Canis lupus familiaris: one gene and its partner. The protein of the gene in region 2 interacts with the protein of the main gene of each other region in a pairwise test. Links are inferred from orthologs where the notes say so. Each region holds a gene or a part of one and is shown on either strand. Other genes may lie near its edges. The genes, in order: KCTD13 and ZMYND19.

The links.
Region 1: the proteins of ZMYND19 (region 2) and KCTD13 interact in binary tests that used the Homo sapiens proteins (3 or more experiments, as listed by UniProt). The two-hybrid records come from large-scale screens. The link is inferred for Canis lupus familiaris from reciprocal best matches to the Homo sapiens genes ZMYND19 and KCTD13.

Annotation. Positions count from the first base shown.
Region 1 is NC_049227.1:18,120,665-18,124,999, reverse strand, and holds the start of KCTD13 (BTB/POZ domain-containing adapter for CUL3-mediated RhoA degradation protein 1), read left to right. Parts: upstream 1-1,425; 5' UTR 1,426-1,611; coding exon 1,612-1,855; intron 1,856-3,167; coding exon 3,168-3,337; intron 3,338-4,335. UniProt on the Homo sapiens protein: Substrate-specific adapter of a BCR (BTB-CUL3-RBX1) E3 ubiquitin-protein ligase complex required for synaptic transmission.
Region 2 is NC_049230.1:48,177,135-48,181,720, forward strand, and holds the start of ZMYND19 (zinc finger MYND domain-containing protein 19), read left to right. Parts: upstream 1-1,682; 5' UTR 1,683-1,730; coding exon 1,731-1,781; intron 1,782-2,860; coding exon 2,861-2,920; intron 2,921-3,894; coding exon 3,895-4,001; intron 4,002-4,586. UniProt on the Homo sapiens protein: May be involved as a regulatory molecule in GPR24/MCH-R1 signaling.

The DNA of each region.
Region 1 (4,335 bases), on a different chromosome or scaffold from region 2:
GGGTCCTGGGATCAAGCCCCCTATTCAGCAGGGAGCCTGCTTCTCCCTTTCCCTCTCCTGCCCACCCTGCTTGTGCTATCTCTCTCTCTCTCTTTTTTTCTCTCTCTCTGTCAAATAACTAAAATCTTTTTTTAAAAAGCTGTACTTGGTAAAGAAGCAGCAGTCACTCAAACTGTAGGAGAAGGGGTTATGTTTGGTCATTTTTGTGTTTGGGCAATGTTGGTTTTGTGTTCAGAAATAATTATGAAATGGTCTTTCTCTCAATCTGTCAGAGTGCCATGGCCTAGCTGATAGTGCCAGGCCTGCTCCTAGCATTACCAAGGTTTCCACAGGGAGAGTGTAAACTAGCTCCCAGCTGTCCTGGGCTGCCTTTTTTTTTTTTTTTTTTTTTTAAATCAGTTGCACTTGAAAAATCAGAATTGGCAACCTCTTTTGGTAAAACATGAGCTCTCTGGGTCACCACAGGCTCCATTACTCCCCAATACCTTGTAATGCCCCACCCCACTCATGTACACTCCTAACTGTTCCCTGGCATTGAAATCTGCACCCCACACTAAGCAAAATAGGAACCAAGCCCAGAGAAAAGTGACTTGGCTAGGATCACCCAATGAACTTGTGGGAGAGTGGAAATTGTTTACATTTTCCCTCCAGCAAACCCCCATGCTAGACATTAAGATCCTTTGTTAAATCTCTGAAGTATCAGCCTCTCAACGGAACGTAGATCCAGTCAGATAAACACTTCTCAGTACATTTTCCTGTCAATAACATGTCCCTGACTTATTCTTTCTTTTTTTCGGGATTGGGCGTCTCGAGACCTTAGCTGGGATTCTAAAACCTTTGCTTGGCCGCTGCAGCCATCCCTGACATTCATTCTGCTCAATACCACAGGCGTGTTTCTGCCTGGAGTCTGTGTGTGTGCACTTCCCTCTGCCTGGAGTTCTCCCTCACACCTTAGTGTGGCCTCGTCTTCTCAGCTTCGGCTCTGCATCACTTCCTCAGGCACGCACTTCCTGACGACCTTACCTACTACACACACCCTGCATGTCCTAGCACTACTGTCACCTCTCTAAGGAGGCCACCTCACTTTGGCCTCTTGTACAAGTCTCCCTTGGTGCTTTGTTCGAAGCTCTCCGCAGTCTGTCAAAAGCGCGGGGATGGGAGGCGGAAACCTTGCCTTTCACGCCCGCGAAGCGCTCTGAGGGCAGAGACTCAACCACCGCGAGGCGACCTCGCTTTCCACAGCAGGCATGTGGCGGAGCCCGTCCTCCAACCACTGTCCAAGACCCGCGCGAGTACCTCACGTCGCGCGGGATCCCACCCCGCCGGAGGCTGCGCGCTACCTCTCCACGGGGGCCCTAGGTCACCACGCATGCTCCGCACCGCCGGCGCGCGAGGTCAGGGGCGGGACCTTGGCGCGCCTGCGCACCTGCTCAGCCTCGGCTTCCGGGCGGCGTCGGCGTGATGGGGCTGAGGGCTGCGGCGGAGTAGCCGCGGCGTGTGGTCGTGTGGACCTCGCTGTCTGTTCCGACGGCTCGGGTCTCGGGGTCTTTGGGAGCCGCCGGAGGGTGCGGAGAGAGCCTAGGATCGCGCCGTCCGCCGCCAGTCCCCGGCATGTCGGCCGAGGCTTCGGGCCCGGCGGCGGCCGAGGCCCCGTCCCTGGAAGCCCCCAAGCCCTCGGGTCTCGAGCCTGGCTCCGCCGCCTACGGTCTCAAGCCGCTGACCCCGAACAGCAAGTACGTGAAGCTGAATGTGGGCGGCTCGCTGCACTACACCACGCTGCGCACCCTCACGGGACAGGACACCATGCTCAAAGCCATGTTCAGCGGCCGCGCGGAGGTGCTCACTGACGCGGGAGGTACGCCGCGCCGCACTTACCTGTGTGGTCCTCCATCCTCCAGATCCCCGTCTGCCTTCCCTCGCCCAGTCTCCTCATATCCCCTCTCTCGCGTCTCTACCGTGCAGTCAACTCATTTCACCTCCCTCCAGCCCCCCCATCCAGTCTCATCGCCCCTTCCTCATTCATAATTCCCCTCCTATCTCAGTCCTTTATCCCTAGCAATAACCAACATTTAAGGGAACATCACATGCCCGCTTCCAACACGCGCTGTGGTAAGTAATTCAACACGTCACTTCCGAATTTTTATTACCAGTCCCCTCCAATTCTCCCACCCTTTACTCCTCAGCTCAGACGACTTGGGAACCAGTCCTGCTACCAGCAGCACCCTTCCAGGCAACCTTCATGTTCCTTCCAACTGCCCAGCCTTATGTTTGCCTCTCTACCTCAGCACTGCTAACAACCGGCCTGGAGGAGTTGTCTGTCTCTGTATTCCTCCAACACAGGTCCCCGTACGCTCTAGGGATCCATTTGTAAATGCAGACTGTAGAAAAAGGCTGTTTTGGGGGTTTGCCATGGACACCAGAGAGAAGGGTGGACAGTTCTCTTTGGCAGGTGAACCTTACCTTCTTGGAGTGTTGCCTTCAGGGTTGGAACCCACATGCCCAGGTGGAACTGTAGTTTTTGTGAGGGTGGGGGAAGGTATTGAGAGGGGTATAACAATGATAGTAAAGAGCAGGAAAATTAAAATTTGGGCGATGGAGTTCAATCTTAAAATATCTGAGGTTGAAGGATTTGATTATTCAACAAGTATTTGTAAAGTGCCAGTTAGTGCCAGAGATACTTTGGTAAATGAATCAGACAAGATTAGTCTTATAGACTTCACTTTTTTGTGGGGGCAGGAGGAAAATAATAAGCAAATACACATATGAAAAATACGTGTGAAGTTCTATGAATAATATAAAGGTTGAAATGGTAGTGAACTGGGGGGTGGGGTAGATATTTTAATTAAGGCAGTCAGAACTAATGCCAAAGGTTAGAGTTTGTTGGTAAGGTAATCATTTTCATTGCAATCATTTTCTCATGGTGAGAACTTTTTCAATTCAGAACAGACCTGGAAAGGAATTCATTCTCTGTGTCTACGAATGTTAAAAAGGGGTCTATGGGAAAACTCACTGGAGATGTTTTAAAGGGATTTTCTTGGATGTGGCAAAGGTTTGAGACAGATCAGTATTCAGACCTGTAGCTTTGGAATCTGTTTTTCATAAAAATTTAGTAGCTCCAGAGCCCCCTGCAAAGCCATCCTTCCTCTTGCCTGTCTCCACTCCACCAGGTTGGGTGCTGATTGACCGGAGCGGCCGCCACTTTGGTACAATCCTCAACTACCTGCGGGATGGGTCCGTGCCACTGCCTGATAATACCAGAGAACTGGGGGAGCTACTAGGCGAAGCACGCTACTACCTGGTACAGGGTCTGATTGAGGACTGCCAGCTAGCATTGCAGGTGAGGGGCCCTGGGTCCCACCTTATACCCATGTCTCTGGGAGAGCTGTCTAAGCACTTAGATACTAGCACATTAAAAAATAGAGGGGAGGTATCTGGGGTATTGTTTGGAGAGGCTCCCTATGGCCTGGCTGTGACTAGCCATAACTACAGAAAATTTGGTTGGAGGTGCTTTCCTGTGTATTCCTGCTACCTCAGGAAGGACCTCCCTCACCACCTCGTGCCAGGACTATTACAGTAGTTTTTTTGTTTAAGATTTTATTTATTTTTTCATGAGAGACACAAAGAGAGGCAGAGACATAGGCAGAGAGAGAAGCAGGCCCCATGCAGGGAGCCTGATGTGGGACTCGATCCTCTGATTTCCAGGATCATGCCCTGGGCCAAAGGCAGACGCTCAACCGCTGAGCTACCCAGGGGTCCCTGTTACAGTAGTTAAATGACTGTTCTCTCCTTGCTGTTCCTACCTGGCTAATCCGGCAATCACACTACCACCTGAGTGATGATCCTTAAACAGTCTAGTCTCCCCTTTGCTCCTAAATCTTAAATAACTCCCTGTGCCACTAGGAAAAAAAAATCCAATTTTAAATTAGAATATAATGATCTCTGTGATTTGGTCCTGTCCTGGGAGGCAGTATTCCACCCCCAGCCAGGTTTTTGTTGTTGTTGTTTTTAACTTCTTTTTTAGCAATGAAATCCTAGAATCAGAGCTGCTCCCCAAAAGACAGATTGGGGGTTCCACGCCCCAACTTCTGGGCTTCTCTTCTATGGATCTCAGGGTTCTGAAGAGAGCTTAGAAAGCACAGCCAGGACCTGTGGGTTAAGTGTCACCTCTACCACAGCTGACTGAGTGACCTTGATTAAGTCAGTTCCTACCTCTGGCATTCTGTTCTCATGTTCCAAAAGATAGGAAAACAAGAAAAATATGTACACTGTAGTGAGTTTTACATAAAGCCTTTTATTTTGTTCTATTTTTACATTGTTAAAAATGTACCTTCTTTT
Region 2 (4,586 bases):
TGCATTTTCTTCTGATGTGATCTCATCCAGTTGGCTTTTAAACAAGTGTGCTAATGAATGCCAAATTTATACCCCAGGCTGGACTGCTCCCTTGAACTCTATCCTCATACAGTCAACTGCTTGGCAGCCTGAATGCGTAGCATGAACAAGAAATTCATGTTTATTTTGCTAAGCTGCTGAGAACATAGGATTGTTACTGAAGCATAAACAGGTTTAAGCGGACTGTTACAGAAGACTGGCCCCGCACGTCCAAACACCACCATCACCCCCTGACTAGCTGCTGTATTCACTGGCTCCACAGCCTTCCTGCTTCCAGTCTTCCCCCTAAACTACTGTACCCCTCAGCCAGCCTGGCTCATGGAAAAGCTGCTCTATTCAAATTCTCCAACCGCCTCCCTTTGCTAAGTATAGAAATCAACGTTCTTCTAAGAGCCTACTAACCACCACCCTTGGCTCCCACATCTCTAATCTTCAGCCCTGTTCCTGTCCTGAACTCCTGTCTGGTCACAGCGGACAATCCCACTTTTCCCAACATCCCAGCCCAGGGCCCTGTGGCCAGCTCTTCCCCCAGATGCCCACATGGTGCTCTCTCCACTCCTTACACTGTTCAAGTCCATGAGTCAATGGGGCAGAGCCTGCCCACCACCTTCCTTAGGCCCCTAGCCTCCTAATGCTGCTCTCCTGGTTTCCCCCACTGCCTTTATCACTCATCACGGGCCGTTCTGATTTGCACTCCCGGGTACTTTCAGTGGGAGTGCGGGCGGCGGGGTGGTTGCTAGGTAACAAGGGCGGCGGCCCCCGAGTGTCCTCCCGCCCCGAGCGCCCTCCAGCCTTCAGGTCCTCCCGCCCTAAGCGCCCAGCAGGAGCGAGCGGAGGGCAGAGCGGCCGCGGGCCCATCACCGCAGCCCGGTTCACGGCCCGACCCGCGGGGAAGGCGGCGGCGGCCCGAGCGCAGGCAGTGCGGGGGAGACGGGCCCCGTTGGCACAGGGGCGGTGTCCAGGGAGGGAGTAGGGCGGCCCGCGCCCCTCGCCCCTCGCCCCTCGCCCGCCGTCCCGCGGGTGCGGAGCCGTTTACCGGGAGCCGCAGCGAGTTCCGCAGGACCCTTCGGGCCGCCCCTCCGCGAGGGGGCGGCGCGTGGGTTCGGGGGCCAGGGGCAGGGCCGCGGCCGGGCGTTGGGGCCGGCGCCCGGCCTGAGCCGAGGGCGGCCAGCGGGGAGCAAGACGCCGCAGCGCGGCCGCCAGCACAAAGCTTCCCGCGAAACTGACGTAGCGCGGGGCGGCCGCGCAAGCGCCGCCCTCGGCCGCGCCCCTCCCCCGCGCTCCCACTGCTCCTCAGTGCGCCGGCGTACTTCCCCTCCTCCCATTGGCCACGGCGCGGCGGCGCGCGCAGGCCGGCGCGGGGCGCACCCCGCGATTGGCGGGTCGGCGGCGGGCGGGGGTGTGTCCGCGTCGCACCCCGCCTCCGGCTCCGCTCGCGGTGGTGCGCGCGGCGGCGGCGGCGGCGGCGGTGGCGGCGTCGGCGGCGGTGGCGCGTGGCAGGTCCGGCGGGCCCGAGGCGGCGGCGGCCCGAGCCCGGCCCAGCCTCGTCCCGCCTGGCCCCGACCCCGGCCCGCCGGCCCGGCCCACCCGGCGCGCCGCGGCGCCGCCCCGGCCCGGCCCCGGCCCCGGTCCCGGTCCCGGCCCGGCGCCTCCCGAGGGAGCGGCGCCGCCGGCCGAGCGCAGGCCTGGCCATGACCGACTTCAAATTGGGTATCGTGCGGCTCGGCCGGGTGGCCGGGAAGGTGAGCGGCGCGGGGGCCGCGGGGCCGCGGGGCCGCGGGGCCGGGACGCTGGGCTGGGGCCGTGGGGTCGGGGGCTGCGGAGCCGGGCGGGCGGGCGGGCGGGCGAAGGGTCCCCGCGGGCAGCACAGCGCCCTTCCGAGGCGGCAGGACGGTGTGCGTGCGTGTCGGCGCCCGCCAGCCCGTCGTGGAGCCTCGCGCGGGGTTCACGCTGCCGGCGCTGGCCGAGTGCGGACGGGCCTCGATGGGCCTCCCGGAGCAGGGCCTCCCTCTGCTTCTCTCCCTTACCTGGCCCCGCCCTCCGCGGGTTCGAGGCCGGGGCTTCCTGGCACCTGTGGGCATTGAGGCTTGGCTGTTTCCAGGAGCCGGCCGGCCGTGCAGCTGCTCCAGCCACGGACCTTACCCTGGATGGGAACCCTGTTCCCATCCCCAGCGGCGGCAGCTCCTGGTGGGAGACAGGAGCAGAGGCAGTCAGATGAAGGTAAAACCGACTTAGATCTTAGAAGGAGGCTCCCCGAGCAAGAATGAGACTAGTCCGTTTGGGGGGCCGTTTCCTGCCTTTCCTGCAAGAGGAATGTGGCTTTTTACCTGGGGAAGGGTGGGCTCCCCATCGGCTCTGAGACCTTTTCTTATTCAGTGACTGGTTGCATTCAGATCATCCTTTAAAACTTATTTGGAACATTTCAGAAGAAAGCTAAACAGTTCAGTGAGCACCTGTGTACTGCCACCCATCCTAATAAATAAATGTTTTCGAGGCCTTCTGTATGCCTTGTCTCACTCCAGGGCCCCTCCTCTGTTCCGAGGAAGCCCCAGTCTCAAATGAGGGTCAGCAGCACCTGAAACACAGCTTAGAGGTTAGCCAGTCCAGGGGCACTTAGGGCTTAGGCGCGTATGGATGGGAAGTGAAGCCTGATTCCTACTCCTCTGGGACAGTCTGGAGTGGGAAATGACCACCTGCCTTGGGGGTAGGGTACTTGGTGCCCCTCACCTGCTAGCCTCATTTAACCTGAAGGGGCGGTTTCTGTTACTAAAACTTTACTGTGACCCTGAATGTAACATTGCGAAACGTGGTTAATTTCCAGACGAAGTACACACTGATAGATGAGCAAGATATCCCGCTGGTGGAGGGCTACTCCTTTGAGGTAAGGATGGCTGTTTCTCTGTGGGCCTGCTTTCAGCCAATGCTTGAGGAGGGTCAGGAGGAATGGGTTTTACCCTGTGTTGTTGGTTCTCTCCCACTTTCACCCTGGTGCAAGTAGATCACATTGTGTCGTGTTTGTGATGATGTTCAGTTGGATAAGCCCTGGCTCCCTAGGGGACTGTCCAAGTGCCACCTCATGTTTCTTCTGGCCTTGGCCCAGCGTTCCTCCATCCCCCATCTTCCTGAGCTCCCTTGCCTTCCACTCTTCTCTGTGGGATGAGCTTCTGTTCACCTGCCCATCCTCACCTACCGGCTCCTCCACTTCAGAAATCCTTGAGGGCTCTGTGGACCCACTATGCTTTATCTCAGCCCTTCGTGTTTTTACAGAAAGGGTGGCCCTTGAACAAGAGTTTGAACTGCACAGGTTAACTTAGATGTGGGGGGGGTTTTGATAAACATAGTCTATTACTGTAAATATATTTCATCATGACTTCTTTGAAAACGTTTTCTTTAAGAATATAGCATACGATATGTCTCACATACAAAGTTTGTGTTAATCACTTGTTTGCCTCAGTAAGGTTTCTGGTCCAGAGCAAGCTATCAGTGAAGTCTCCGGAAGTTAAAAGTCCTATGCGGATTTTCACCTGTGTGGGGGCTCTGTACCTTACCCTACGTGTTCAGGGCTTAGCTATTAGTTACTTGTTCAAGGGTTTGTTTTTCTCACTGAATTGTGGGCATTTTCTAAGAGTAGGAAAACTTGTCTCTTTATGTCTACAGTGTTTTGCAGAGTGGTTTGTGGAGTATGTTGGGATACAGGGCTGGCTTCTCATGTCTGGGAGCCTCTGCAAAGCCCGGGGTCCCAGAAAGAGGCCTCATATATTTGCTCTAACTTGTTTGTTTCACTTCACTTCTTTAATAAAGTTTGAAAATGTAGCTGAGACCTGAAGGCTTTTTAACAGACCATTTCTCTCTCAGGCCCGGATGGAAGTAGATGCAGATGGAAATGGTGCTAAGATATTCGCATATGCCTTTGACAAAAACCGAGGAAGAGGGTCAGGAAGGCTCCTTCACGAGCTGCTGTGGTAGGTGTTTATGAGCTGCTTGTTCCTCATTTGGGTACTGCATGCAGCAACCTGTCCCTGTTGACAGAGGATGTGTTATCGGAGTCATGCTCCCCCCACCACCCCTCTTGTTACCTTTGAATCATTGCCGCTAACCCAGAGGAATGGCTCATTTGTATAGCGTACCACTAATGGAGCAGTCTAAAAGTGCACTTTCTGCTCAGGCACTTGTACCGGGCATGGCTCTCTCTCTGGGGTAGGGAGGACTCTGCTCCGTCCACTGTGTTCTTGCTGAGCCTGTTGGTGGGATGTGAGGAATGGCCTGCCTCCTCGTGGCGTCCACGGTGGAACTGCTGCTTGGAACTGCTCAGATGGGGTGTTCTCTAGGCTGTGTGTTTGATGGTTGGGGGCTCCATCCTTGGCTTTTTGCAGCCCAGCTCTCAAATCAAGGGGCTGAACTGTTAGCATGGTCCATCTTGTTTGACCACAGACTGACTGACATACTTGGATTCCTCTCAGCAGCCTTGTTCCTGACGCTCTCTGTCAGTGTGGCGAAGGGCCAGTTCAGATCCCACAGCTGAAGTATTTAGGGAGGCCTGAGGTGGC